7 linked regions of the Canis lupus familiaris genome follow. Each later gene encodes a partner of the first gene's protein in a complex. Links are inferred from orthologs where the notes say so. Each region holds a gene or a part of one and is shown in the gene's direction. Other genes may lie near its edges.

The links.
Region 2: MED7 (region 1) and MED23 share a complex: the UniProt entries of both Homo sapiens proteins name them as parts of the mediator complex. The link is inferred for Canis lupus familiaris from reciprocal best matches to the Homo sapiens genes MED7 and MED23.
Region 3: MED7 (region 1) and MED13 share a complex: the UniProt entries of both Homo sapiens proteins name them as parts of the mediator complex. The link is inferred for Canis lupus familiaris from reciprocal best matches to the Homo sapiens genes MED7 and MED13.
Region 4: MED7 (region 1) and MED13L share a complex: the UniProt entries of both Homo sapiens proteins name them as parts of the mediator complex. The link is inferred for Canis lupus familiaris from reciprocal best matches to the Homo sapiens genes MED7 and MED13L.
Region 5: MED7 (region 1) and CCNC share a complex: the UniProt entries of both Homo sapiens proteins name them as parts of the mediator complex. The link is inferred for Canis lupus familiaris from reciprocal best matches to the Homo sapiens genes MED7 and CCNC.
Region 6: the proteins of MED7 (region 1) and MED21 are in contact, whole or in part, in a cryo-EM structure (PDB 7EMF), measured with the Homo sapiens proteins. The link is inferred for Canis lupus familiaris from reciprocal best matches to the Homo sapiens genes MED7 and MED21. Residues at the interface, in NP_001094286.1 of Homo sapiens: Phe72, Asp73, His74, Lys75, Leu78, Arg79, Asn82, Ile85, Leu86, Phe89, Leu92, Leu93, Leu96, Phe116, Val119, His120, Ile123, Asn124, Tyr126, Arg127, His129, Gln130, Arg132, Glu133, Leu135, Arg136, Met139, Glu140, Gln142, Lys143; in NP_004255.2 of Homo sapiens: Asp3, Leu5, Thr6, Leu8, Gln9, Val12, Asn13, Leu15, Ala16, Phe19, Ile23, Ile62, Ala66, Ile69, Asp70, Ile73, Asp74, Leu76, Pro77, Ser78, Glu79, Ser81, Ala83, Gln86, Ser89, Leu90, Leu93, Glu96, Asn97, His98.
Region 7: MED7 (region 1) and MED8 share a complex: the UniProt entries of both Homo sapiens proteins name them as parts of the mediator complex. The link is inferred for Canis lupus familiaris from reciprocal best matches to the Homo sapiens genes MED7 and MED8.

The regions. Positions count from the first base shown.
Region 1 is NC_049225.1:53,884,272-53,888,324, forward strand, and holds the start of MED7 (mediator of RNA polymerase II transcription subunit 7), read left to right. Parts: upstream 1-1,253; 5' UTR 1,254-1,320; intron 1,321-4,053. UniProt on the Homo sapiens protein: Component of the Mediator complex, a coactivator involved in the regulated transcription of nearly all RNA polymerase II-dependent genes.
Region 2 is NC_049233.1:336,264-340,363, forward strand, and holds the start of MED23 (mediator of RNA polymerase II transcription subunit 23), read left to right. Parts: upstream 1-1,300; 5' UTR 1,301-1,407; coding exon of another isoform or gene 1,408-1,512; coding exon 1,513-1,560; coding exon of another isoform or gene 1,561-1,694; exon of another isoform or gene 1,695-1,697; intron 1,698-1,909; coding exon 1,910-1,941; intron 1,942-2,110; coding exon 2,111-2,198; intron 2,199-4,100. Other genes in the region: ENPP3 (ectonucleotide pyrophosphatase/phosphodiesterase family member 3), read right to left, coding at 1,408-1,694. UniProt on the Homo sapiens protein: Required for transcriptional activation subsequent to the assembly of the pre-initiation complex. Component of the Mediator complex, a coactivator involved in the regulated transcription of nearly all RNA polymerase II-dependent genes.
Region 3 is NC_049230.1:34,684,474-34,687,973, forward strand, and holds part of MED13 (mediator of RNA polymerase II transcription subunit 13), read left to right. Parts: intron 1-691; coding exon 692-915; intron 916-3,033; coding exon 3,034-3,223; intron 3,224-3,500. UniProt on the Homo sapiens protein: Component of the Mediator complex, a coactivator involved in the regulated transcription of nearly all RNA polymerase II-dependent genes.
Region 4 is NC_049247.1:13,104,998-13,107,898, reverse strand, and holds part of MED13L (mediator of RNA polymerase II transcription subunit 13-like), read left to right. Parts: intron 1-1,268; coding exon 1,269-1,381; intron 1,382-1,948; coding exon 1,949-1,984; intron 1,985-2,402; coding exon 2,403-2,535; 3' UTR 2,536-2,901. UniProt on the Homo sapiens protein: Component of the Mediator complex, a coactivator involved in the regulated transcription of nearly all RNA polymerase II-dependent genes.
Region 5 is NC_049233.1:58,025,967-58,029,466, reverse strand, and holds part of CCNC (cyclin-C), read left to right. Parts: intron 1-327; coding exon 328-412; intron 413-579; coding exon 580-649; intron 650-3,500. UniProt on the Homo sapiens protein: Component of the Mediator complex, a coactivator involved in regulated gene transcription of nearly all RNA polymerase II-dependent genes.
Region 6 is NC_049248.1:25,930,815-25,934,781, forward strand, and holds the start of MED21 (mediator of RNA polymerase II transcription subunit 21), read left to right. Parts: upstream 1-1,167; 5' UTR 1,168-1,186; coding exon 1,187-1,228; intron 1,229-3,967. UniProt on the Homo sapiens protein: Component of the Mediator complex, a coactivator involved in the regulated transcription of nearly all RNA polymerase II-dependent genes.
Region 7 is NC_049236.1:16,881,159-16,885,200, forward strand, and holds the start of MED8 (mediator of RNA polymerase II transcription subunit 8), read left to right. Parts: upstream 1-1,242; 5' UTR 1,243-1,295; coding exon 1,296-1,301; intron 1,302-2,814; coding exon 2,815-2,933; intron 2,934-3,856; coding exon 3,857-4,001; intron 4,002-4,042. Other genes in the region: KICSTOR complex protein SZT2, read right to left, coding at 1,006-1,032. UniProt on the Homo sapiens protein: Component of the Mediator complex, a coactivator involved in the regulated transcription of nearly all RNA polymerase II-dependent genes.

The DNA.
Region 1 (4,053 bases):
TGAGAATCAGAAGCTTAAACAATTGAGCCACCTAAGTGCCCTTGATTTTGATGAATTTAAATAATTACTATTTTATTTTATTTTTTTTAAAAAAGATTTTATTTATTCATGAAAGACAGAGAGACAGGCGGAGATGTAGGCAGAGAGACAAGCGGGCTCCATATCTGGAGCCTGTCGCAGGACTTGATCCCAGGACCCTGGGATCACAACTTGAACCAAAGGCAGACACGGAACCACTGAGCCACCCAGGCACCTCTACTAACTTATTTTTAAATGATATAACACCTGTATCCTTATGGGGGAAAATGAGAGTCCTATTTTGGACGTGTATATTAAAACGAAATAATGTCTAGATCTAATGGGTAGATATAGATTGAAGGTGGATAATGAGTACACTTTTTTTTTTAAAGATCTTATCTATTTGAGAGAGGAAGAGAGAGAGCAAGAGCAGTGTGAGGGGAGGGGGAGAAGCAGATTCCCTGCTGAGCAGGGAGCCCAAGTAGGGCTTGATGCCAGGACCCTGGGATCACGACCTGAGCTGAAGGCAGAGGCTTCACCCACTCAGCCACCTAGGCGCCCCTCTACTTTTGCATATACTCGGAATCTCGTTCTTTTCTAAAAAATGAAACCAAGTAATCTTATTTTAGAGGCAAAGTTGAAAACTTTTATCAGAATAACAATTTTCTTTTATGTCCAGTATGCTCTCGTCAGATTTCCACGAATTTATAAGTTTGTTACTTCTTCTGAAAATTACCTCCCAAAAACTTTGATACATTTTTTGTTACCTGGAAACATAGCTATGTTTCAATTCCTAAATGAAAATAAATATGAATGTGAAGAAATAGAAACTGAGAACGCTATGAATTCCCGATCTCGTTCATAAATATTTCCAGATTGAAAATAAATGTAATGCTATTTTGGACAGTAGGATTAGAGTCGATCTAATTTTTAAAAATCGGCTTATCTGCATTTTCTAATTTTCATGTAAGGCAAACGGATAAGTTAATCTCAGGTGTCAAAAAAAAAAAAAAGATAACAAAGGAGCGAAGCTACCAGTTGCAGCTTTTACTGATAGAAAGTACTAGCACAGACACCCCCACGCCCGAGGCCGCCGGCGACCCGACCGCCGAGGGCGCGGGGAGATACGCGCAGGCGCAGTAGCAAGGTTTTGGTTGGAGGCGGGACTAGAGCGGCGGCTAACATACAGTTCTCTCAGCCAATCAAGGGGCAGTGTCACGGGCTTCTTCCTGGAGGAGGTGGCCGGAAGTCGGCTTTCGGTTGCGGAGGCGAAGGCGGCTCCAGCGTCAAGCCTGGGCTGAGGTAAGTGGGCGGCGACGGCTTGCGGCTTCGTGCCGCGTGCGTCTCGCCTTCCGGACCCCGCGGCTCCCCCAGGGCCGGCTGGGAATGGGGGAAGCCTGGCGCGGACACGCTCCGTCACCTTCCTCTCCCACATCCCTCGGAGATGCGGCCTCGCTGCTGCTCGCGGGGAGCCGGGCGGAAGGTGCCGTCGGCGCGGCGCGCTCGGGGCTTCCTCCGTGGGGGAGCCCTGAGTTCCAGTCCCGCGCCGCGGGTGTGCTGAGCCGGGCGGACGTGGCGGGCCTCGGCCCCCGGGCCTTGCCCGCGCTCGTCGGGGATGGAGCCTGAGGTCGGCCGCGGTAGTGCGGGGTGCAGGAGGCCGCGATCCCAAGCCTGGTGGCCACGTCGAGGGGGAGGTGTTCGGGGGCGGGGCGGGACCCTGGAATGCCTTCCTGTCGGCTGAGCCCCACGGAAGGGGGGTCTGGGGTCCGGTCACCGGCCGTGACGCTTGGCGCCGGTTTCAGTGGAGACACCGCCTCGGAAGAGTTGGCCCCAGAGAAGCGGTGGAGGAATGAGCAGAATCGGTGCGACTCGTCAGGTTGCTTCCGTGGGCGAGCCTGCCCTGGGCCGCGGAAAGGAGCCGGGATGAGGAGCGTTGCCGTGGACTCGCTAGCCCCGACGCGGCGCAGGCGGCCCCTCCGAGACGCGGAGTCTTCCTCTCGCGAAGGAAGCTGACAGGCGTGTGAGGAAGACCGAGAGGCTTTTTTTTTTTTTTTAATTTTTTTTTTTTTTAAAGATTTTATTTATTTATTCATGAGAGACCCAGGCAGACGGAGAAGCAGGCTCCTTGCAGACGTGGGACTCGATCTCGGATCCCCGGATCCCGCCCTGAGCCACCCAGGCGTCCGCCGAGAGGCTTTAAAACGTGCCAGTCACGTGGGACTGGGAACCTGCACGTTGAATAGAGGAGTGCTTGTGGCTTGTGGCGTGGGGAGGCGCGGAACCGGGCGCCCAACTAAAAATGCTTGAGTGAGGCAGAGCCTGGGCTGTCTCTTACAGTCGCTTTTGAAGTAACCAGATCAATGCTAATTCTCTGATTTTGGTAGTAATCACATATAAACACTGTTTATCACCCCCACCTCCACCCCCCACTCCCCGCAAGCAGTTTTACCCCTTTTACTCGAGGGCCGCCTTATATTACAGAGAAATATTTTATCCACTCCTCATATTGATGAAGTCATGGATGATTTCCGGCTTTTCCTACTCTTTTCAAACCTCGCTGCATTAAACACCCTTGGTGCACATTTTTATGCACTTGTGACGTAGGACAGATGTTAGGGTTTGAAACCAACAGCCAAGAAAGAGTTCTTGAGACGTCTGTGGTGCAAAAAAGTGGTCTTTATAGAAGCATGAGAGGGCAAGACCCTTGGACAGAAAGAGCTGCCCTGGGAGAGTGCGACCTCTGCTGGCATCCAGCGCCTGTCGCATGGAAGGTGTTCTAATATTTGTTGAATGATGGAGTATTTGAAATCTCGATAGTCCGTTAGATGAAAAGTATTCTTTTTAAAACTTTGCTTTTAGAAGTATATTAGTCTGAATAATTTTCTGCTTTTATTCAGCATTTGCATTTCCCTTGTCTTTTTTTTTTTTTTTTTAAGATTTTATTTACTTGAGAGAGAGGGAGCTAGCCCAGCGTGGGGAAAGGCAGAGGGAGAAGGGAGAAGCAGATTCCCTGCTAAGCTGGGAGCCGGATGCGGGCTCAATCCCAGGACCCTGAGATCAGGACCTGAATCCATGACTTGAGCCAAAGGCAGAAGCTTAACCGACTGAACCACCCGAGCCCTCCTCCTTGTCCTCTTTTGTCTATTATTCTGTTTTAAAAAACGGAGGTTAAAAAAAAAAAAAAAACTCAATCAGTGGGCCTTTATTGAGGATCTTTTAGGTGTTGAGGTGCTGGAGATGGAGTTGTGTATTCGGCAGTTCCTGAAGTCCTAGTGCCCTCCTTCCGGTGGGAGTGGAGTCAGAAAATAAATTTTTGAAAAGTCAAAATAAAATTTCCAATATTTGCTCTGTTAGCTTGCAGGCATTTTTCTCCCAAAAGAATGGGATTGTCTTTTAATTTTGCTTATGATAATTTTCCTGTGTGGAATTTTTAGACTTATTTTTGGTAGAACTGTTGGCCTTCTGTAGGAGCCTTAAAACTTGGTAGTTATTTTTGTGTTTTTTTTGTTAGGTTGTAAGTGGCACTAAGATGGAAGCAATGTTTTTTTGTTTATCCTTGATAATGTAGAGTAGTGTTTAAGATACTATGGTTCTGAATCCTTCCTCTACTACTTAATCTGTGACTTTATGCAAGTGGTTCAACCTGAATGCTTTATGAGCCATCCAGGAGATCAGGCAGTTTGGATTAGAGCTAGAAAGTACAGAGTCATAAACACAGAACAGGGCTTCTCCACTTTGGCACAATATTTTGACATTTGGGGCTGGGATAATTCCTTTTTGGGGGCTGTCATACGCATTGTAAGTGTTCGGCAGCATCCCTAGCCTCTACCAGTTAGATGCCAGTAACACCCCATCCCCCAGTTGTGACAAGTAAAAATATCTCCAGACCTTGCCCTATGTTTCCTGGTGGGCAAAATTGCCCTTGGTTGAGAATGACTGGTAGAAATGGTGTTAAAAGCCAGGGAATTAACTAATAATCACCCAAGGGAGAATATAAAACAGAAGTCTAAAACTATTGGCCCACAGACCACAAAG
Region 2 (4,100 bases), on another chromosome or scaffold:
CTATTCTAAATCCTTTGTATTTCCATATAAATTTTATTTATGTATTTTTTAATAATACATTTACTTTTTATTGGTGTTCAATTTGCCAACATACAGAATAACACCCAGTGCTCATCCCATCAAGTGCTCCATATAAATTTTAGAATCAGCTTGTCTATTTGACCAAAAAATGCTGGAATTTTTATTGGGATTAAATTTAATCTATAGAGTAATCTGGGGATAATTGCTATGTAAATCATATTGAGTCTATATATATATATAGAGAGAGAGAGAGAGGAAACAGAGTGGAAGCATGGAAATCTGCCAACTGAAAACTCTTACAAGTCTACCTGACTAAAGATAGTCCAAAATAAGATAATATGTTTAGCATACAAAAAAGAATAATAGATTGTTACGCTGCTTAGATTTTAATAATTCTGGCCCTGTCATCCTTCTAGCTTGGACATCCTACAAAATTGATTCCTGCAATATGGTTCATTAAGTATACCTAATATTGTGGCTAGTGCTGAGCAAAGAGTGAACAAATATTTCATAAATGAAGTACTGTACTACTTATGCACAAAGGTGTTACATGAGGATAAAGAAGAGACCCTACATCAGCTTGAGCGAGGAGGGCAGGCATCCAGGAAAGAGTCAAACTAGTGCTTGGAAGAACACAGCGGTGGAGGGGCACACCCCACAGCGCACTTAGCCACGGCTCTGACACTGCAGATGGATCAGCCTTCCTATCTACCAAGGTTTCTCCACTTCTACCCTCACCAAAGAAGCTCTAGGTATTCAGAAATTGATAAATATTATTTTAGATGATTATAACTAAAACGGCAGACATAATTATTTTATTATTCTAATTAAAATTCAGTAATAATGCATTCATTTTTTTTTACCCCCCGACCTTTATGTTAAAAGCTTGCTATGTGTCAGGCACTGTGCAAGGCACTGGGGTTACCATACTTGAGAAGACACGGTCCCTGTCGTCAAGAAAAGTGTGGTTTCGACTCTTGGCTCCAGAAGATCAGCAGCTCTCACAGACAACAGGTTGACCTAGGTTGCAGGTGGAGCCCTTCTCCCTGGCTGCCATTCCCCGGGCTTCAAGCTTCTTTCCTTGCCAGTAGGCAGAAGCATCAGCCTGGAGCAGGAAGGAACTCCCGTTCCAGCCGGGAGGTGGCGGCCTGCAGCCGACGACGCCTCAGGGTGACTTGGGGTCAAGGCTCCACTTGGTGGCAGTCTCGTCTGGCTCGGCTGGCCGCCCTTCTCCCCCGGCGGAACCAACTAGCTGGGGGCCTGGTTTCCGCAGGGTTGCTAATCCACACGCACCCGACGCTTCCCAGCTTCCGTGCAAGCGCCGCGGTTTGCTGGACGGGGACGGGGGTCCACTCGGCCGAGCGCTTCAGAGAAAAGAAAGCTTACCCCGCCAGCTGAAGTTTCTTGCGGGCTTCCGCCCCTCGGCCGGTCAATTCCCGGAGCTTGGGCCTCACCGGGCCGCGCGCCCAGCGTCCAGGACGAGCCGGGGCGATGGTGCAGATGGAGACGCAACTGCAGAGCATTTTTGAGGATGTGGTGGTGAGTGGAGCCGCCGGGCGCCGGGGCGGCGTCTGGGGGAGGGAGGGGCACCCAGCAGCCGCCCCGGCCAGCGCCCCCCACCTCTCCTGTTGTGGCCTCTCGTACGTCTGCAGGGGTCTAGCGCGTCCCAGCATGCTGTCAGATTCAGTCTGCACTGAAATCCCCAGCACCCTTTGTGACAGGCCCGGCCGGGGGGGGGGGGGGGGGGGGGCGGGGGTATTTTGTGCGTGTGGCGGGTCAAGGTGACTTGTCCTGTGTTACACTGTAATGTCGTCTTAGGGGCGTCCCCCCCTTTTTTTATTTTTATTTTTTTTACTTTTTTACACCGCTTATTTTTCTTTTTTTACAGAAAACGGAAATTATAGAAGAGGCTTTTCCTGGGTGAGTGTATACGTATATGCATGGCAGATTTTTGTGTTTTTACTTGAGTGTCTTTGGAAGATGTGACTCAGGTTTGCCTTGGAGGCACGCGAGATCTGTAAGATTCTGGTTATGTTGAATTAATTCCCCCTCAAGAACTAGTAGCAAATCTGTGATTTTTGCTTTTTAGAATGTTCATGGACACCCCTGAAGATGAAAAGACAAAACTAATTAGCTGTCTGGGAGCCTTCAGACAGTTTTGGGGTGGTCTTTCTCAGGTGAGCACTGCATTTTTTTACTACATCCAGGTCATGATTTTTGATGCCTCCTTTTTTACACTACTTTGATGTTGCTGCTAAGGTTCTTTTGGAAAGGGAGACATTAGTGTCATCATTTGTTATATGTGTATTCTGGTTTCCATTTGTTTCATTTTGTATTCTTCCAGTGGAGAACCAGTATTAAGAAATCAAACTGATGATGGCACATTGTGAGACACCTATAAAAATCTCCCCCATGTTAGATTATATAAAACACTTCATCCTACTCTGATTTATTTGGTACATGTGGAAACAGCTCTGGTAGCAATTGTAAAAGATACAAATTTCATTCATTTATTCAACAGAAGGAACTAGCAAAACATTGATACAGAGATGCTATGATTAAAGATACCATAGTAAGGGGATCCCTGGGTGGCTCAGTGGCTTAGCATCTGCCTTCCGCCCAGGGCGTGATCCTGGACCCAGGATCAAGTTCCACATCCGGCTCCCGGAGTGGAGCCTGCTTCTCCCTTTGCCTGTGTCTCTGCCCCCGCCCCCCCCCCCCCCCCCGCCCGTGTGTTTCTCATGAATAAATAAATAAAATCTTTAAAAAATAAATAAATAAAGATACCATAGTAAAGATAACAAAGATGCCACAATAAGGATACTATAATAAAGATACACAGATCTTCTAAGAAAAATGAGGAAAGGAGCAGTAGAACTTAGTAACAAAGAACAGTCACCAGAAAATGTATCCATGAAAAAGACAAAATGTGTGATCCTTAAAGAGCTGGTGTTCCAGGAATGTATTATCTTCTGATGCTGCATTATTGGTAGGAAAATGAGAACTGTTTATATTTGACCACTGGTGGTAAGACTTACTTCCCAAACATGGGGTTACATAGGCATAAATCTTGTGGGTTTTGTTTTTTTTATATAAGATTTTGTTTATTTATTCATGAGAGACGCAGAGAGAGAGAGGGAGGCAGAGACACAGGCAGAGGGAGAAGCAGGCTCCGTGCAGGGAGCCCGTTGGAGAACTACATCCCAGAACTCTGGGATCACGCCCTGAGCCAAAGGCACATGCTCCACCACTGAGCCACCCAGGCGTCCCTTAAATCTTGTTTTAATTGTCTTCGAATAGGTAATCTATTCATATGGCTCCAAATGCAAAAAGTACCAAAAAGGGGACCCAATGAATAGTCTGCCTTCCATCTCTCTTAGCTTACACCTGCTCTTTTTCGTATCAGTAGCTGGTATTCTCAGTTTGTTGCCTTCTGGAGGTATTTTACACATATAGGATCAACTTTTATAGAACATTCACATAATGTGTTCACTGTTCATTAGCCCTTTTCCTCTTACTATTAAAATCTGAAAATAATTCCACGTCAATCCATTGAACGTTATTTCTGCCTTTCTTTTTTACAGCAACATAATCTATTATATGATTGCACCTTCCTTTAACCAGTCCCCTGGTTTTTCTTAACTACTCCAGTTTAGGTTATTTAGGTTACTTCTTAACTACTCCACTTTAAACAATACTACAATGGACAATATTGTGCACAGGACACTGAATAAATTCCTGGAAGTAGTATTGCTGGGTTAGAGGGTATGTCTACTTAAAATTTTTATAGAAATTTCCTGATAGCTTTCCATAAGAGTTATACCAATTTGTACTCCTCTAGGAATGTGTAAAAGTATCTGTTCCCTAGGGCCTCACAGTAGGTTGTTAATAAATTTTTTTGATGTTTGCTGATCTAAAATGAGAAATTCTATCTCATTATGGTTTGTTTTGTACTTCTTTGGTGTTGAACATGCTTTCAGCATATTTTAATAATTCGTTAAACAATTTATGAATTAAGGATGACCCTTGTTTTTCAGAAATTTGTATTCTAATAGAGGAGCCAGAAAAAAAATAGATCT
Region 3 (3,500 bases), on another chromosome or scaffold:
AATAAAACTCCCCTCCTATGTTTTCTTTTGTACTAAGTTTTTTCATTCAACTTAATTTTTTTTTTTACAGCCATGTAAAGGTATAAGTCATATGTTCCATTAAGACCATTCATTTAGCAGGGCAGCCCCGGTGGCGCAGCAGTTTGGCGCCGCCTGCAGCCTGGGGCGTGATCCTGGAGTCCCGGGATCGAGTCCCACATTGGGCTCCCTGCATGGAGCCTGCTTCTCCCTCTGCCTGTGTCTCTGCCTCTCTCTCTGTGTGTGTCTATGAATAAATAAACAAAATCTTTAAAAAGAAAAGGCCATTTAGCAAATTGCTAACTGTGGAAAAGTCTCAATTATTGATTGGCTTTAGATATTTTTGTCTTTTTTTTTTAATTTAATTTTTTTTAATTTATTTATGATAGTCACACACACACACAGAGAGAGAGAGAGGCAGAGACACAGGCAGAAGGAGAAGCAGGCTCCATGTACCGGGAGCCCGACGTGGGATTCGATCCCGGGTCTTCAGGATCGCGCCCTGGGCCAAAGGCAGGCGCCAAACCTGCTGCGCCACCCAGGGATCCCGATATTTTTGTCTTGAATAAAATATTTTTAATAATAACGATTTCAGTAACTTTGACATTTAAATAAAAGGAAGACACGTAACTTTTCTTAAATGTTTTTCTTAAAATATGTTTTTCTTATTTAGGAACTGATGAATCCCCTGAACCACTGCCAATCCCTACGTTTTTGTTGGGTTATGATTATGATTTTCTGGTGCTTTCTCCATTTGCACTCCCCTATTGGGAGAGACTTATGCTGGAACCCTATGGATCTCAAAGAGATATAGCCTATGTTGTATTATGTCCAGAAAATGAAGCCTTGTTAAATGGAGCCAAAAGCTTTTTTAGAGACCTCACTGCAATATATGAGGTAGGTGTTTAAAAAGAGGTAGCATTCCTATAATTAAGTCTCTTATGGCATAGGAAAAACAGGGTCACCGGAGGGGAGGACGGTAGGGGGACTGGGTAACTGGGTGATGAACATTAAGGTGGGCATGTGATGTAATGAGCATTGGGTGTTATATAAGACTGATGAACCAATGACCTCTCCCTCTGAAACCAATAAAACATTATGTTAATTAATTGAATTTAAAGAAAATTTTATAAGAGTAGCATTCAGTTGGGAGTCTGCTTTTCCATTCTCCCTCTTCCCCTCCCCCTGGCTCATGCTCACTCACTCTCTTTCTCTCTCTCTTAAATAAATAAATAAAAATATTTAAGATATAAAAAGAGGTAGCTTTTTAAAACTATAATTTGTATGTTTATGTATGAAATATACTGGAAAGTTGAATTGATTGGGATGGGTAATAATGATGTGAAACTGGTTGTGTAGTTCTCATGCTAGCCAGTGGTGTTCTTCACAGCATTTGACCCGAACTGTTCATTAGGTGTGTGTGCCATGGTTCACAGTAGAAATTGCTATATTGAGGAAAAACCATTGAGGGCATATATATGCCACTTAGGATCTTTTTTTTTTTTTTTTAAACATCTTTTTTTTTTTGAAACGAAGAGTTGCATTGTTGAATAGCCAGGAAGAAAATTACACTTACAGAAATTCTAGTTCTGATTGTCTAGGGCCTCAGGTACTGACAATAGGCCTTGCTTTCATAAAGTAAGCCTGTGTTAGATTTCTCTGTGATCTGTATCATTTCTGAAATTCTTGATTGTTCTTTTTAATTCTTGACTGATCTTATAATTTTCATGTTGTGTCCATCACTGAGTGCAGTGATTACAGATTTTAAGTGGTACAGGACATCAAGTCTTAATTATACTTCCTTTCCCCATAAATGCTTAGAAATCAGTCTTTAAAATTTAATTTCTTCTATAGTCTGAGTTGTTAGTTTGTGCTAGTTTAGTTCCTAATAAGTGTTCCACTTAATTACAAGGTATCTGTAGTGTATTTTGTAGAAAGAAGTATTTTCCAAAGAGTGTTACTTGGAACATTGGTTCTGCAAAATCTTTCTGGAAAAAATTCCATAATTAATCAGATTTGGGGGAAATATTATGTATTATATTACTTTTTAAGAGATTTTCTATTCATACTAGTTTATTAAAACCTTTGAAAGTTTGTTGTTTTCTTTTTTAAGCCTTTGAAAATCTTAACAGTAAAGAAATCCTCTGTCCAGGGATGCCTGGCTGGCTCAGTCAGTGGAATGTCTCACTCTTGATCTCAAGATTGTGAGTTCGGGCCCCCACATTATGTGTGGAATGTACTTTAAAAAAAAAAAAATCCTCTGTCTAAATTTTTTAAATTTAGTGTTAGAAACTTGATATTGGGCTTCTTGTAACAAACATCAGTGGCCCACAGAATTGGAGGGAGAGCTGGCAATTACATAATATATTTATATACCAATTTTTATTTTGACTTGATTTGGATGTATGTACGTATTTATGTTCACTTATATCTGTATTCTTCAAGTCTTCATTATTCAAACCACATGGTTCTTAACCTGGATGTTTTATTTCATTAGTGATAGTTTAATTTTGAAAAAAAATTTAATGGATTTCTAATGTAAAAAGAAAAAGATAGGGAGCCTGGGTGCCTCAGCAGTTGAGCATCTGCCTTCAGCCCAGGGCGCGATCCTGGAGTCCTGGCATCAAGTCCCACATCGGGCTCCCTGCATGGAGCCTGCTTCTCTTGTGCCTATGTCTCTGCCTCTCTCTCTGTGTCTCATGAATAAATCAATAAAATCTTAAAAAAAAAAAAAAAAGGAAAAAGATGTACCTTTTCATTTGATATTTTTATCCCAAATATTAATAATAAATTATAAATCTTAATTTAAATAACTTAAATGCTTAGGGCACCTGGCTGGCTCAGTTGGTAGAACGTGCAACTCTTGATCTCAGGGTTGTGAGTTCAGCCCATGTTGGATTTAGAAATTACTTAGAAATATATCTTTTAAAAAAATAACTAAAATGCTTTATTTTATAGTGTATACTCAAATACTATAATAAAATCACTAATTCTGCTTTCTATGTATATCTGTAGTCCTGTCGATTAGGTCAACATAGACCTATTTCTCGACTGTTGACAGATGGAATCATGAGAGTTGGATCTACTGCATCAAAGAAACTATCAGAAAAGTTGGTAGCCGAATGGTTTTCTCAGGCAGCTGATGGTAACAATGAAGCATTTTCTAAACTCAAGCTTTATGCACAAGTCTGCAGATATGACCTAGGTATTAAATTTGTATTTCTTTTATAAGACCAATGGTAGCAAAGTATAGCTCAAGGTATCTGTTGTTTTTGTAAATAAAACTTTACTGGAACCCAGCCCTGTTCATATATTTCTTACTGTCTGTTGCTGCTTTTGTGCTACAATATCAGAACAATCGTTGAGACAGAGATGATGTGGCCCAGAAAACCCAAAATATTTACTGACTCTCAACAGAAAAAGTTTGCTGATCCCTAAAATAGGAATCCCATCAGATAAGAAATTTGGGGTATAAAAAATTG
Region 4 (2,901 bases), on another chromosome or scaffold:
GCGCGCGCACACACACACACACAGGCCTGCTCTGTTTTCAAAAAGAAACAGTGGAAGGGTTGGACCAGAAACAGTTGAAGCAATTTTCTTTAACTAATGGCTATGACATATTGTGAAATCAAGGAAGTTATATAAAATCCACGTCATCTTTATTTCAAATTAGACTTGTCAGGATGAACCTAGATTTATTTTTCCCTCTTAAGAAAGGTGTACACTTTTTTTTTTTTTTTTTTTTTAGCTCGGTCTACTGCAAAACTTAGGAGCAGTGACAGCATAGTATCCATAAACAACTCTCTTGCTACAGTTCTGGTTCTGAAATACCATTTATCATTTAAAAGAACCAGAGTCCCTTGGAATAAATGACTGATTATAGGTCTGAAGTAAGAAATATTCAGGATGAACCTTTGCTATGTTGTCCCACTGAAAAGCAAGGAAATTACTTAAGATAATTAGAGTTACTTCAAAGGACCCAGGAGCCAGCTGGAGGGTTCTCATTGCCCAAGGATGGGACAGTTTGAACATAAAGAACAGTGGTAGCAGGAGAATGAAACAAATACATGGGTTCATAATTGTGCTGAAAACCAGAACATTTTCTCAGTCACCTTTTGAAACTACTAGAACAGCAGCTTACTAAGTCGAAAACTAAAAAATAAAGAAGCATTTATATTAACTCTCACATACTATATTTCTCAGTTATTTAATAAAGTAAAAATTAGGTGAAAAAGTGATGGGGAACTTATTAAATGGAGCATGCTGGTAACCTGCTGAACACGGTGATCAATCCTACTTCAAGTGGGACAATAGACATTAGTTGCCTTTTGATGTGATGCAATAAGAAGGACATAGCACCAGTTAAGCAGTATTCTTGCACCCTTATCCCCTCCATCTAGAAAGAAACTGAACCAGTTAGAGCCTCTAAATCTATGGATTTACAGAAGAAGTCAGGAGAGAATGTATTAACCCCACCACAAGGGGACAGTTAGCCATATCCAGACCCTGAGGCCTTCTAGAGATTAGGACTTCAAGAGGCAGGTCTTTGAATCATTTGAAACGCATTTATATTTGCAAAGCTAGCTTTTTTCCAACTCTAGGATATGGAGTTATTTGGGATCACATTGGAGTTACTGAGAGCCTAAAATTAAGGCTTCTGGAGGCTGTGGCTTCTAAAGACTCCAGAGGGCGTCTGCAACTAGCATACATTGGTCTTCCTTTTTTCTGCCCCATGGTTGAGGTTGTCAGAAAGGTAACTGTCTCTGTTCTTTTACCAGGCTTCACTGCATCACCACATTTCTGTAGCACAGACGGATGAACTTCTCCCTGCCAGGAATTCTCAGCGGGTTCCACATCCTCTTGACTCCAAAACCACATCTGATGTTTTAAGGTAGATACAGACATAGGCAACATAGCAGTACAGTGTGAAATAATCCTCCTTCACTTTTGTTTTTCCAAGGTGTATTTAATTAAAATGCAGAAAAGGTGCTACCTTTTGTGCTGTGGAGCACTGTCTGATTAGCCGCTGAGAGTTGCAGTCCCCCCATATGAGCACTGGACAGAGAGTATAGTATACTTTGTTAAATGGGATAGGTATGTGCAGTACAATTGTCCTTGCTTCCTATTTAAAGGAGGCATTTTATGGTGATGAAAATAGATCAGAATAGGGGGTGGATGGTTAGAAGACAGAGCCTAAAAGTTCAAGCGCTTGGTTTTGAAAGCATCTTTTTTACTTCTTCTGACATAAGTTATATAAATAAAATTAACTAGAACATAAATTCCATAGTTAGGAAGTATCTTCCAGAAGGATGCAGTAATTCTCTTGCACTGTAGCGGGCCACAAACATTCTTCAAGTACCTTGAGGAAATGCCAGCTTTTTCTAGTGTTTACTAACTCTAAAATGATTTGGAAATTATAGTTAAGCAAGAACCTGATCAACATGATTTTGGCTTTCAGGGTCTCTAGTGCAGCACCGTCCAAGAGAAATACAATGTAAGCTACATTTCTAATGAAAATTTTTTTAGTAGCAACATTAAAATAGTAAAATAAATTGGTGAAGTTAAAATGTATCAATTATACCAAAAGTATATCAGAATAATATCAAGTATATGAAAAACAGTATCATTTCAGTAGTTAACATAAAAATATTCATGAACTATTTCACATGTTTTGTTTTTTAATATGAATTCCTTGAAATCCTGTTTTTATATGATAGCATATGTGATTCCATTTGTGGCCAGTAATGCAGGGCTAGGCAAAGCGGATGTGTGAGAAAAGTGCCACAGGGAAACCTGAGACAAGTGAAAGAATGACACAGGCCCTCCCTGCCAACTCCTGGAATGTTGACGTATAGAACCAGCCTTGCCTCTGCTGTGCTTCGTGCCCCTGACCTGTCTCTTCTCTCCGGCAGGTTTGTTTTGGAGCAGTACAACGCTCTATCCTGGCTCACGTGCAATCCGGCTACCCAGGACCGTACCTCCTGCCTTCCCGTCCACTTTGTGGTGCTCACTCAGTTGTACAATGCCATCATGAATATACTTTAATTGGAAAAGCACTTGTTCTCTCTGGCTCGGTTCCTCCTCCCTGCAGCCTCAGCCCAAGGAGCCTGCTACACTCTGCAAATGCCCCACATCCTCTTCTTGAGACCACTCTCCACAGTCCTGCACTGTGATTACTCCTCAGCAGGCACAGGTCATTTCTGCAGTGTTCATTCCCAGAGGGATTCATTGATACTTCTCTCATGGACCCGGAAACTTCCATAAGCAGTGACTTTTAGCCAGTGTTATGGTGTGTGCAGCCCCAAACCACTGGTCCGCAGGAAGTTTGTTGGTGGTGGTGGTGGTGGTTTTTAAGAGGGAAACAGAAGAGACAGTATCCTTTTGCACAAGAGTCTGTGTTTCCAGTCTCTG
Region 5 (3,500 bases), on another chromosome or scaffold:
TGAAAAAAAAAAAAAGAAAAACACTGAAAATACTTAGAAGATAGAGGGAAATACCTATCATTCAATCTTCTTAATATAAGAATAGTGTTTGCTTTGGGGACAGTTTCTATTTTTTATTGTTGTTTATGCATACTTATATTCTTTTAACAGATTTGCAAATCCTAGTCCTAACCCAGTGTGATCCAAGTAGAGCTTTAAACCATATGTAGGTTTTTCTCTTTGTTAAAAATTAATATAGTTATGATTTACCACATGAAAGTTATTGTTCAATGTTAATATCATAATGATAACAAAAGAACATTTAAAACTTTATTATTTTTCTTTTAGTTATTCAGGCATTAGGTGAACATCTTAAATTAAGACAACAAGTTATTGCCACTGCTACGGTCTATTTCAAGAGATTCTATGCCAGGTAGGACTTTTATTTTGAGATTATGTTACGCCTGTTTGAAACACTTAACGTAATGTTGATGAACCTTAGTATAAATAAATGAATCATGTGCTTGCATTGAGTTATCTTGGTTTTTCCGAATGTCTTCTATATGAATGACATTTAACTTTGTTTTCATCATATTTTAGGTATTCTCTGAAAAGTATAGATCCTGTATTAATGGCTCCTACATGTGTGTTTTTGGCATCCAAAGTAGAGGTATGAAATAGTTTTCTGTTCTTCATTGAAGTATACACAATGCACATTGGTTAATCTGCCCTAGTTTTCATATTACCTGTATAAAAATAATGACAGATGGAGATTTTTTTTATGCAAAGTATTGAAATTCATACAAAATCAAAGATATACGTCTTTATACATTCATTTAACAAACACTTATGTAGCATTTACTTAGTAAATTTGTAAATACTACTTATGTAAATGTAAGTGCTATTCTAAGTCCTTTTAAACTATAACTGACTCATAATATCCTTATAACAAACAATGGGGTGTATGCTAGTAATATCTTCATTCCATAAAGGAGGAAACTGAGTTACATAGAGAGTAAGAAACTTGCCTAAATTCATAGAGCTGGTAAGTGGCAGAGCCAGTATTTTGAACCCTGGGAGTCTGGCTACTAATTGCATGCTTTTAACTGCTTTGTTCTAGGTTCTCTAAGACATTTACTGTTTGGCACTAAGTAGTATTCCATAAGTGCCACAGCTTCTTTACTATAACCTGTATTATAGTACCTCCTCCCATGTGCCTCCTTCTCACCATATGCTTCCTATGTCTTACTGTCTTCCCTCCCTGCCACCTGATAATGGCTGCCTTCCAAACCATAGAGAAAGCAGGAGGGAAAGCAAGGATGAGTGTGGCTCTAGTCATATAGATTCCAATGAGGAATTATTAGGGCAGTGAGGGTAGAGAAATTAAGTGAGGGAAAGGGAAGAGAGATGGGAACTTGGAGCTGAGACCCAATCTCTGCTCACCTTATTTTCTTTTTCGGTAATTTTGAGAGAGCACAGCTAAAATCCAGACAGTAATAGGATATATAGACTGATTTTCATCATAATATTTGCATTCTTAATGTTATGAAACCTTTGTATTATGTTTCTTAGATGTCTTTAGAATCATAATTGTATTCTTGAAAAATAAATGTAATTTAGACCTAGTAGGTTTATAATTCCTTTTGGCACTCAATTTTTATTTAGTTTTGCTCTAGTCATTATTTAGGATTATTTAAGGCATGTTTTCCAAATATTACCTAAAGTAATGAGAGTTGACTCTATTAGGAAATAATATTAAGACAGACTTTCTAGAGGTTTATGATTTTCTAATTACAAGTGGTATTTTAAAGGGAGAGAACCAGCCCTGTTGTTGTTACTAAGTTCTTTAGTGGGAAAAGAAAGTGTTTATAAAAGGTCATATTATGGGGTGGTTTTTCCAAATATTACCATGTCATTTGATGTATTATGAAGCACAACCAGTATGGAAAATCTAGACAAAATCTTTTATTATTATTTTTTAGACAAAATCTTTTAATAAATTTCTACTCTAGAAAATTAACTTGGGTATTTTAATTTGTTTAGTTTGTTAAATATCTTTTGTTATATGATTTAGTGAGTGAAAGTTTTCACTTTAAGAATTTTGGATAAAGGGAAGCCCGGGTGGCTCAGCGGTTTAGCGCCACCTTCTGCCCAGGGCATGATCTTGGAGTCCCAGGATTGGGATCAAGTCCCACTTCAGGCTCCCTGAATGGAACCTGCTTCTCCTTCTGCCTGTGTCTCTACCTCTGTCTTTCTGTGTGTCTCTCATGAATAAATAAAATCTTAAAAAAAAAAAAGAATTTTGGATAAAGAATAATTCCTGGGGGTGTATGCTAGTAATATCTTCATTTCTATTTATTTCAATAAATAAATGATATCTTTTTTTAAAAAAAAGAATAATTCCTGGATCTGGTTGCCTGGCTGGCTCAGTTGGTAAAGCATATGACTCTTGATCTCGGGGTCATGAATTTGAGCCCCACATTGGGTGTCCAGATTACTTTAAAAGAAAGAATTATTCCTGGAAAAAAGAGTATCCCTTCATATTTGGTTATAGCGTTATTTTTAAAATTTTAACTGTGACCAAATCTTTCTGTGTTTTGTCAAGTTGTATGGGAATTATGTAGAAATGACTTTTAAGATGTCTGAGGCATCTACTTTTTAGTTTCAGTTACTGTGGTTTCAGGTTTATTTATTTATTTTAAAAGATTTTATTTATTTATTCATGAGAGACAGAGAGAGGGGCAGAGACATAGGAGCCCCGCAAGGAGCCCGATGCCAGACTTGATCCTGGGACCTGGGGATCATGCCCTGAAGGCATGATGCTCAACGACTGAGCCACCCAGGCGTCCTGGTTAGTTAATCATATTAAATGAGACAATGTATATGAGGAAATGGGACCTGACAGAAGTCCTGGGACACCTGGGTGGCTCAGTTGGTTAAGTGTTGAACTCCTGATTTCGGCTCAGGTCAGGATCTCAGAGTTGTGGTATAGAGCCCTGCGTTGGGCTCACACTCATCACAGAGTCTGCTTAAGATTCTGTCCCTCTTCTTCGGCCCTTCCCCCCCACCCTCTATCCCCACTCACACTCTCAAAAAAGGAAAAAAAAAAACCTTGCTTTATGATAAGGCTGAAATTATTTTAAAAAAAAAATTGTATTATGGAGTGCCAGGGTGGCTCAGTCAGTTAAGCATTGGACTCTTGATCTCCGCTTAGGTCTTGGTCTCAGCATTGAGTTTAAGCCCCATGTTCAGCTGGGTGTACATGGAGCCTACTTTAAAAAAAAAAAAAAAAAAAGAGAGAAAAGTCTTATACTGTATCATTCTATTATTCTATCATTCTTGTCTTCTTCTTTCAAATAGAATAATAGATTCTGTGGTCTTTGGAATTCTTTTGGTGATAGTATAAGTTTATCTTTTGAGATTTAACTGCTTTATTACTAAATAGCATAAAGTACCTATTTGTTAGTCGAGGTTCAGTTGAATAGGAAGCATACTTAATATTTTTCTTGCCATTAAGTGTA
Region 6 (3,967 bases), on another chromosome or scaffold:
CAGCCAGGTGCTCCAGATACCAAGTTCCTATTATCTTCCTTCACACTAAATCCTCAATAGGTCTCACGGCTAAGTATAAATTGCACACCTTATCTGTTTAAAAATTGTCCCTGCCCTTACCTACACATAAGGCTCATTTTCCAGGAACCTCCTCCACTCTCCTCTCCACCAACCTTCTTCTGTTCTTTCTACTGAGTTCCTCGCTGTCAGAGGAGCGAGATTTTTATTAGTTAACTGCACTCACACCTTACCTCTGAACTCCAGATGCCACTCTTCTGCTACTCACTTTGCCTATAGAAACCTTCCTTTTCCAACTTTTTTTTTTTTTTAAGATTTTATTTATTTATTAGAGAGAGGCAGAGACACAGGTAGAGGGAAGAAGCAGGCTCCACGCAGCAAGCCCGACGTAGGACTCGATCCCGGGTCTCCAAGATCACGCCCCGGGCTGAAGGCGGCGCTAAGCCACTGAGCCACCCAGGCTGCCCCCAACCATTTTCTTCTTACGCGGTCAATACAGCTCGATTTAGTGCTTAGTTGTTTTGGACGCTTTCCATCCCATGTGTGTCAGCTTCCCCAGCACACCCACATTCAGAATTAAAGCACGCACCCAGTCTTCACCTGGGTGGCCCATCACCCCCTCCACCCCCACCCCCCCAGAGGAGACACCCTAACACAGCCAAGATTGCCTGGTGAATTTTAATTTGGATTTGTTGAAGTTAAAATCGGGATCGCGACCCCCAAGTATTCCTGAGTTGGTTGCTGTGTATATATTTGGTGATCCACCTGGAAATCCAAAGTAACGTAAGTATTCAAGGCAATGTTTAAAAACGAATATACACGGGAAGATGGGGAAAATCACTTCTAAAAACTGCAGCATCTAACCATCTCCGTAAAATTGTCTACCACCCGAAAACCTCGAGAACGAGTCTGCTGGACCCAAAACGAAGGAACTCGGAACCCCCACCCCAAAGTCACTCAAAATAACCTCCGCGAGGCGCCTTCGCGGGCGGAGCTGCCCGAAACACAGCCTCGCAAAAGTCCCACCCGCGCTCTACTCGCCGGGCGCGGAGGGCCGCTGACTCCACCCCCTCCGAGAACGCTGGCCTGTGATTGGCTACGACGCTTCCTGAAGCCGCCCAATAGCGAGCGAGCAGCTGCTTTAGCCTCCGGAGCTTGCAGGAGGAACATGGCGGACCGGCTCACACAGCTGCAGGACGCGGTGAACTCGGTGAGCGATTTTGCTCTGTTGGTCTCTGTCTTCCCCTTTCTTAAGGTAAAACGAGGGCAAAGGGCCCCGGGAAAAACACACGAAAGTGGGGAGCGGACTGGGGCAGGGCTTCCGCAGAAAGCGCTGGCGGCGGCGGGAGGCGGCGCGGCGTCCTGGGAGGTTTGAGGCCGGCTGCCGGCTTCGCGGAGAGCTGAGGGAGCAGCAGCCTCTTTCACCGGAAAAGTAGGGGGTCTCTCTGTCAGGACACTTAGGCGTCACGGTCCTGTCCTGTTCTCTGGGAACAGTTTTATTTTACTGCCAGTCGTACTTCTGGGCTCACTTCTCTTTCGGGGGTAAGGGGGAAAGCGGCAGAAGCTCCTTGTTTCCCTTATCAGTGTTAAGCCGCGAAGGAGAAACTGTGCTCCTGACGATTGGATATTTTTTTGTTAAATGTCAGCCGAGAGTATTCCTGCGTCAGGACTTTGCAGGTTGAGCCTGGAGTGATGGTGAGGTGAGAAATTCTGTTTCCTCTTCGTTGGTTCCCAGAGACAAAGGGTCTCGTTCCCATCTCTTGGCGCTCCCTGGCATCAATCAGTTTGGGGAAAACTGACATCTTTAGGAGAGTGAATCTTCTAATCCTTGCGTATGTTCCCATTTATTTAAGTCTTTAATGTGTCGCAAAAAGTCTACTTTCTGTTAAGGGTCAGATCTTGTAAGCCGACCCCCTTACTTTGATCCTTATTATTTTTTTCCTGTTATGCCTGACTGGAAAGTACATGCGAACCAGAGGATTCATGTGCTCATGACCATAAAGAGTTCAACAGTTTGCCATTAGTTATATTTCTCATTGTCAATCTGTTTTTTTTTTTTTTTAAGGTTTTATTTATTCATGAGAAAGAGAAGTACAATCCATGCAAGGGAGCCCGACGCGGGACTCGATCTGGGGTCTCCAGGATCACACCCTGGGCCGAAGGCGGCGCTAAACCGCTGAGCCACCCGGGCCTGCCAATCTGTTTATAATTTGATATCCCAGGTCAAATGTCTTTAGAGAGAGAATATGTTGACTGGAAAATCGAAGTATCTGTTCCCTTGCCAGTTTTTTTCACACCGGAAGATAAGAAGTTAGGATTCTTGTTGCATCCATCTTTGTTCACTTCAAATGAGGGGGGAATCGACTTGTGAAAAACTGATTTACTCCGGGCGGCCCCGGGTGGCTTAGCGGTTTAGCGCCACCTTCAGCCCGGGGTGTGATCTGGAGACTCAGGATCGAGTCCCACCTCAGGCTCCCTGCATGGAGTGGGCTTGTGTCTGTGCCTCTCTCCCTCTCCCCCCCCCCCCCCCCCCCCCCCCGTCTCTCAATAAATAGTCTTAAAAAAAATAAAATAAAACTGACTTACTCCGTAAATAAAATAAGACCTTTTAGGACTGAGAGGGCTAGCCCCTAAAGGTTGATGAAGTCACTAAGATAAATTCTACTTTATGGTGACATGCGTGGGCTGCCAGCCAACTTCCTTCTGGGAGATATTACTTTGAGGCTCTTCAGAATCAAATTGTAACGATGCTGCTGGGCAGAAATGTTATTTTAGGAGAAATGTTGCATATTCATACATGTCTTGTAACCAGAGAGATAATAGGAGACAGTGAATATGGCCTTGACTCCAGGGTAAGCATGCTGATAATTGGATTTTGGAGAGAAATCTCTAGGTTAACTAGTGTGAATGCCTAATGTGTATGTAAGCACTCTCATGTTTACAGAAAAATACTCCTTGGGGAGTTTACAGTCTAATTGGAATGATGTCATATACTCAAGACATTTAAATAATTTAAAAGTAGGATTTGGTTAGGTGTTTATAATGAATCAAGCGCCTTCAAATGTAAGTGCTGAGGTAAATTGGAATAGAGAGTGATATGAACTGAGTAAAGGAAATCTTCTAAGCATTGATCTGAATTGTAATTATTTGTAAAATTATTAAAGTTATTTGTTTTACCCCCTGAGAACTCCATGAGGGCAGAAGCTGTGCCTTTGTTCATTGTTTCATTATAATGTTTATTACAATGCTTGTCATAGAGTTGATTTTTTTAATATTTATTGAATAAATGGATCTTGAGAGAGCTTTTGAAGAACACAACAGATAGCCACTGTGTTGAATATTTATGCTTGTGTGTTTTCTTTATTCCTCAGAACAGTGGTGTAATGTGAAAATGTTCCCAGTTTAAAAATTAAAAACTGTACTCAGGTTACTAGAACCAGAATTGGAATCCACATCTGTACAGCTTCTAAGCACTTAATACTGTGCCATTACAAGTAGCAAAACATGAGCAACACAGTATAGTCTGGAATGAATTTATCACTAGTTAGGTATATATGAAGGAATTAGTAGAAAATGAAGAAGTAGAGTTGACTTAGATTATCGAAAGCTTTGAAATAGCCTGAAGGGTTGGAGATTAATCTTAAAGGCCATGTTGGGGTGAGCTCAAATTTAAAAAAAAAATTTTTTTTTAAAGATTTATTTGAGGGCAGCCCAGATGGCTCAGCGGTTTAGTGCCGCCTTCAGCCCAGGGCGTGATCCTGGAGTTCCGGGATCGAGTCCTGCATTGGGCTCCCTGCATGGAGCCTGCTTCTCCCTCTGCCTGTGTCTCTGCCTCTCTCTGTCTCTCTCTTCTCTGTGTATTCTCATGAATAAATAAAATCTTTAAAAAAAAATAAAGATTTATTTGAGAGAGAGAGAATACAAGTGGGAGGGGCAAAGGGGGAGGGAG
Region 7 (4,042 bases), on another chromosome or scaffold:
AAAGCATCTAGGGATGAGAGCACTAACTGATATTTGCAGTGTCGAGAATGGTGCCTGGCATGCAGTAAGCATTCACTAAGTAATAACTACTATTTATGTCACTATACACATCCTTCACCCTTCCCACCTACTCATATATTCTCTTAGAATACTGGGCACTTCCTTTAGTGATGTTCTTTCCAAATCTGATTTTATGCTCAGATCTTCTAATTTCAAAACTCTGCTACTCCCCAGCTCAGCAGCACTTGGGTAAGGTACTTAACCTTCACTTTTGGGTTTCCTTATCTGCAAATGAGAAATGGATATTGCCACCTCCCTGGCACAAGTTTGAGTAACATCATGTACGTACAAGTTCCTTTCATTAGCACCTAATGGGTGCTCATATGCATTTTCTGGTTTAATGCAGAAGGTCCTCACAACACACCGTAAGGCAGGTATCTTAATGAAGAAGGAAACAGGATCGGGATAGTCAAGACTTGCCCAAAGTTGCACAGACAGCTAAATGGCGACACCAATACTGGGACGAAACTTCACTCTGAGCCAAATGTTTTTTCTTTTCTTTTTTTTCCCACGAAACCAAAGCTGCTCCCTAAGTGCATAAGCGCTACAACTAAGTTAACTCACGCTGTTCACGGCATTCCAATGCCTGCAGAAATGCAAAAACCATCAACGTACTAGTGCCATGTTGCCCACGGAAACTGCGGTAGAAAAATCAAACCTCAGGTTTTGTTAACATCGATATTAAAGACCGAAGAATCCGAGAGCCCTGGAGCCGGGGACGTGTCTGAAATTTCAATAAACAAAACAAAGCGACGGGTTTCTGCTCTAGCCGCCCCCACGACGACACTGCGGGCCGCGGGGAGGAGGCTCAGTCAGTGGTCGGGCCTTTGGGGCCGGGCCGGTCCCTGCGCAGGCTACGCGGCCCGGCCGCCCCCAAACCGGGAGGAGGCCTCCTCCTCGGGGCCCGGGGTCCAGCGCCCTGCGTTGCGCCCGCCCGCCCCTCACCTCCGGCTCCGGGCGCTCCGAGGCCATCACACAGCCCTCCCGCGCCGGCCCGGGCCAGAGAAGATGCTCCACTCTTGACCCTTGACCCGGCTCCCGGAGACCCGCCGGAACCGGAAGTGAGTGGGCGGGCCGCGCTCTCCCTGAGTTTTCTGATTGGGGGACGAGGCCTCTAGAGTGGATCGCCGACTAGGAAACCGGAAGCGGAAGCCGCCGCCGCCGCCGCCGCCGCCGCCGCCATCGCCGCCTTCGCCATCGCCGCCGCCGCTATAGCCGCCATCGCCGCCATCGCCATGCAGGTGAGAGCGGGCTTGGGGCTGTTAACCGCTAGCTAGCTTCAGGTGACAGGACTGAGAATGGGCTGGCCGAGGAGAGAGTGAGGAGTCGGGGCCGACTGGAGGGGCAGAGCGCGTAGCTGACGGGTAAGGGCCCGCGGGGGCGCGGACGACTGGAGCGGTGGGGGTGGGGCCCACCTGGCAAGAGATGGGAGGTTGGGGCCTTGTCGTGGGGAAGGAGGCTGCGTGGACTAGCTGGCGTGCACGGAGGGATCAGGCTACGGTAACTGGGACGGTTGATATGCAATGCAAGGAAGGCAGCTCAAGAAAATGCAAGTTGGCTCCGGCCCCTGCCCAAGCTGTTGGATGTAGACGTGAGGGATCTGGATGGAATTGCAGAGGAGCCCGAGGGATTGGGGGAAGGGGAGGGAGGCCCAGAGCCGAGCTACTTAAAATCTGAGGCTCTGTGAGTGGAGCCCCGGATCCAGGCCCTCCTCATGCCCCTTGGTGAGTTTGCAAGACAGCTCTGCATCATTTCTCCCAGCCTGAGCCTGTTAGTTGTTGAGGATGAAGAAATGGAGTAAAACTGGAGACCACAGACGGGAGGAAACTGCAGACACCCCAGCATTTTAAAATTGTGTCTCTGGCGCCTAGGAGCATGTGCGTTTTGTCTTTGTTTTTCACTTGCCACTTACTTTCTTGCACCTGGTTGGCTGTCAGTAAATGTCTTCAGGCTGAGTGAGCTTGTGGAAGGGACGCAGGAATACGGGCACAGAGATAAAGCGAAGGGCACAGAGATAAAGCGAATGCCGACTAATCCAGCAAGAAGAAGCTTGAAAACTTCAAATGCTGACGCAGATGAGGAGTGGGGGAGGGGCCGTGGGGTACAAGTTTCAGGGAAACCTTAGTTTCCTTCGTTTCCACAAGCATGAGTATGTTTTCCGGAGATTATGTGACTGGCAAGAACTTCCAGGCTCACAAGGCAAGTTCTAGGACAAGAGAAAGACAAAATACTGCAGAGGCACACAAAAGTTAATAAAGCCCAGGGATTATGTCTGAAAAAAATGCCTCAGTGAGAGTGTTTCTATTTTTTTTTTAATTTTATTTATTTATTCATGACAGACACAGAGAGGGAGAGACACAGGCAGAGGGAGAAGCAGGCTCCATGCAGGGAGCCCGACATGGGACTCAATCCTGAGGCCCCAGGATCACGGCCCCTGGGCCAAAGGCAGCACTAAACCGCTGAGCCACGCGGGCTTCCCTGAGAGAGTGTCTAATACAGAGGAAAGCCAGACATGAATTAGCAGACAATGAGGGAAAGGAGGAATTGAGGTCAGGCAAATGGATTGAAAGGTCTAAGAATTGATGCTGTCTGTAACCCAAATACCAAAGATAGAGAACAGCCTGGCTTTCCTGCACCAGTGAGATCCTGGGTTACTTGACTAGTTTTGCATACTGTCATCCCGGCTTTTCAGCCTTCCCTGTATACGACATAGCCACACCTATCTGGGTAACCAACCTGTTCCTATTGGTGCAGAGGGAGGAGAAGCAGCTGGAGGCATCATTAGATGCACTGCTGAGTCAAGTGGCTGATCTGAAGAACTCACTGGGGAGTTTCATATACAAGTTGGAGAACGAGTATGACCGGCTGACCTGGTAAGGGTTGCCAGGGCAAGCTGAGGAGGGCTCCATGGGGTGGGGGTTGAGGGGGCAGGCCTCCTGATTGATAGGACATCTCCAGGGATGTCACAATTTATCACTTTGCAAACATTTTTTTTTCTTTTAAATTTCCAAGTTTGTTTTTTTGTTTTTTGTTTTTAGATTTCATTTATTTATTCATGAGAGACACAGAATGAGAGAGAGGCAGAGACACAGGCAGAGGCAGAAGCAGGCTCCCTGCAGGGAGCCCGACGTGGAACTCGATCTCGGGTCTCCAGGATTACGCCCTGGGCTGAAGGCGGTGCTAAACCACCGAGCTACCCGTGCTGTCCTGCAAACATCTTTTAATTTGAAAAGATCTATGTTTCCCAACATTTAACAAGTGAAGTTTGTCTTAGGGCCACTGTGGCACGGAAATAGAGAAATGCCCAGTTTTCCAACCCAAGTTTTTTCTAGCTTTTGATTGTCACCCTTGACTTCTTTGGGAGGAGGTACTCCGTCAGTGGGTCCTCCCACTATAGTAAGAGTACAGCGTTCATCTCGGGTCTCTTACGATAGATATTGCTGAGTCTTTTAGGTCCAACCTACTCTGGAAGTGTGGATCCTGTTTTCAGGCCTGAAAGATCTCTTTTTGCTCAGTTTATAAATTTTTAATGATAAGCATAGCCATGGTTCTTACTTTGCCACTGGTCTTTTACCCCATTCAAATAATGAGCTGCCTTATTTCTCCATCCATGTTAGAAACTAAAAGCGTGTCCCGTTTTCATAACCCCACAATCCCTGGGATCCAGTCTGGTTCCTGCCCAGTCCAGCTGTAGTGCTCTGAGTCTTTTTCGAGTGAGCCTGGGTATTCCTAGTCTGAAAGACCCCTTCGAGGCTACTTTACTGAGAACATTGTGACACCTTCTTACCACTACCAGGCCGTCTGTCCTGGACAGCTTCGCCTTGCTCTCTGGACAGTTGAACACTTTGAACAAGGTCTTGAAGCATGAAAAGACACCGCTGTTCCGCAACCAGGTCATCATCCCCCTGGTGCTGTCTCCAGACCGTGATGAAGATCTCATGGTAAGAAGAGAAGAAGGGCATAACATGGGAAATTAAATTCT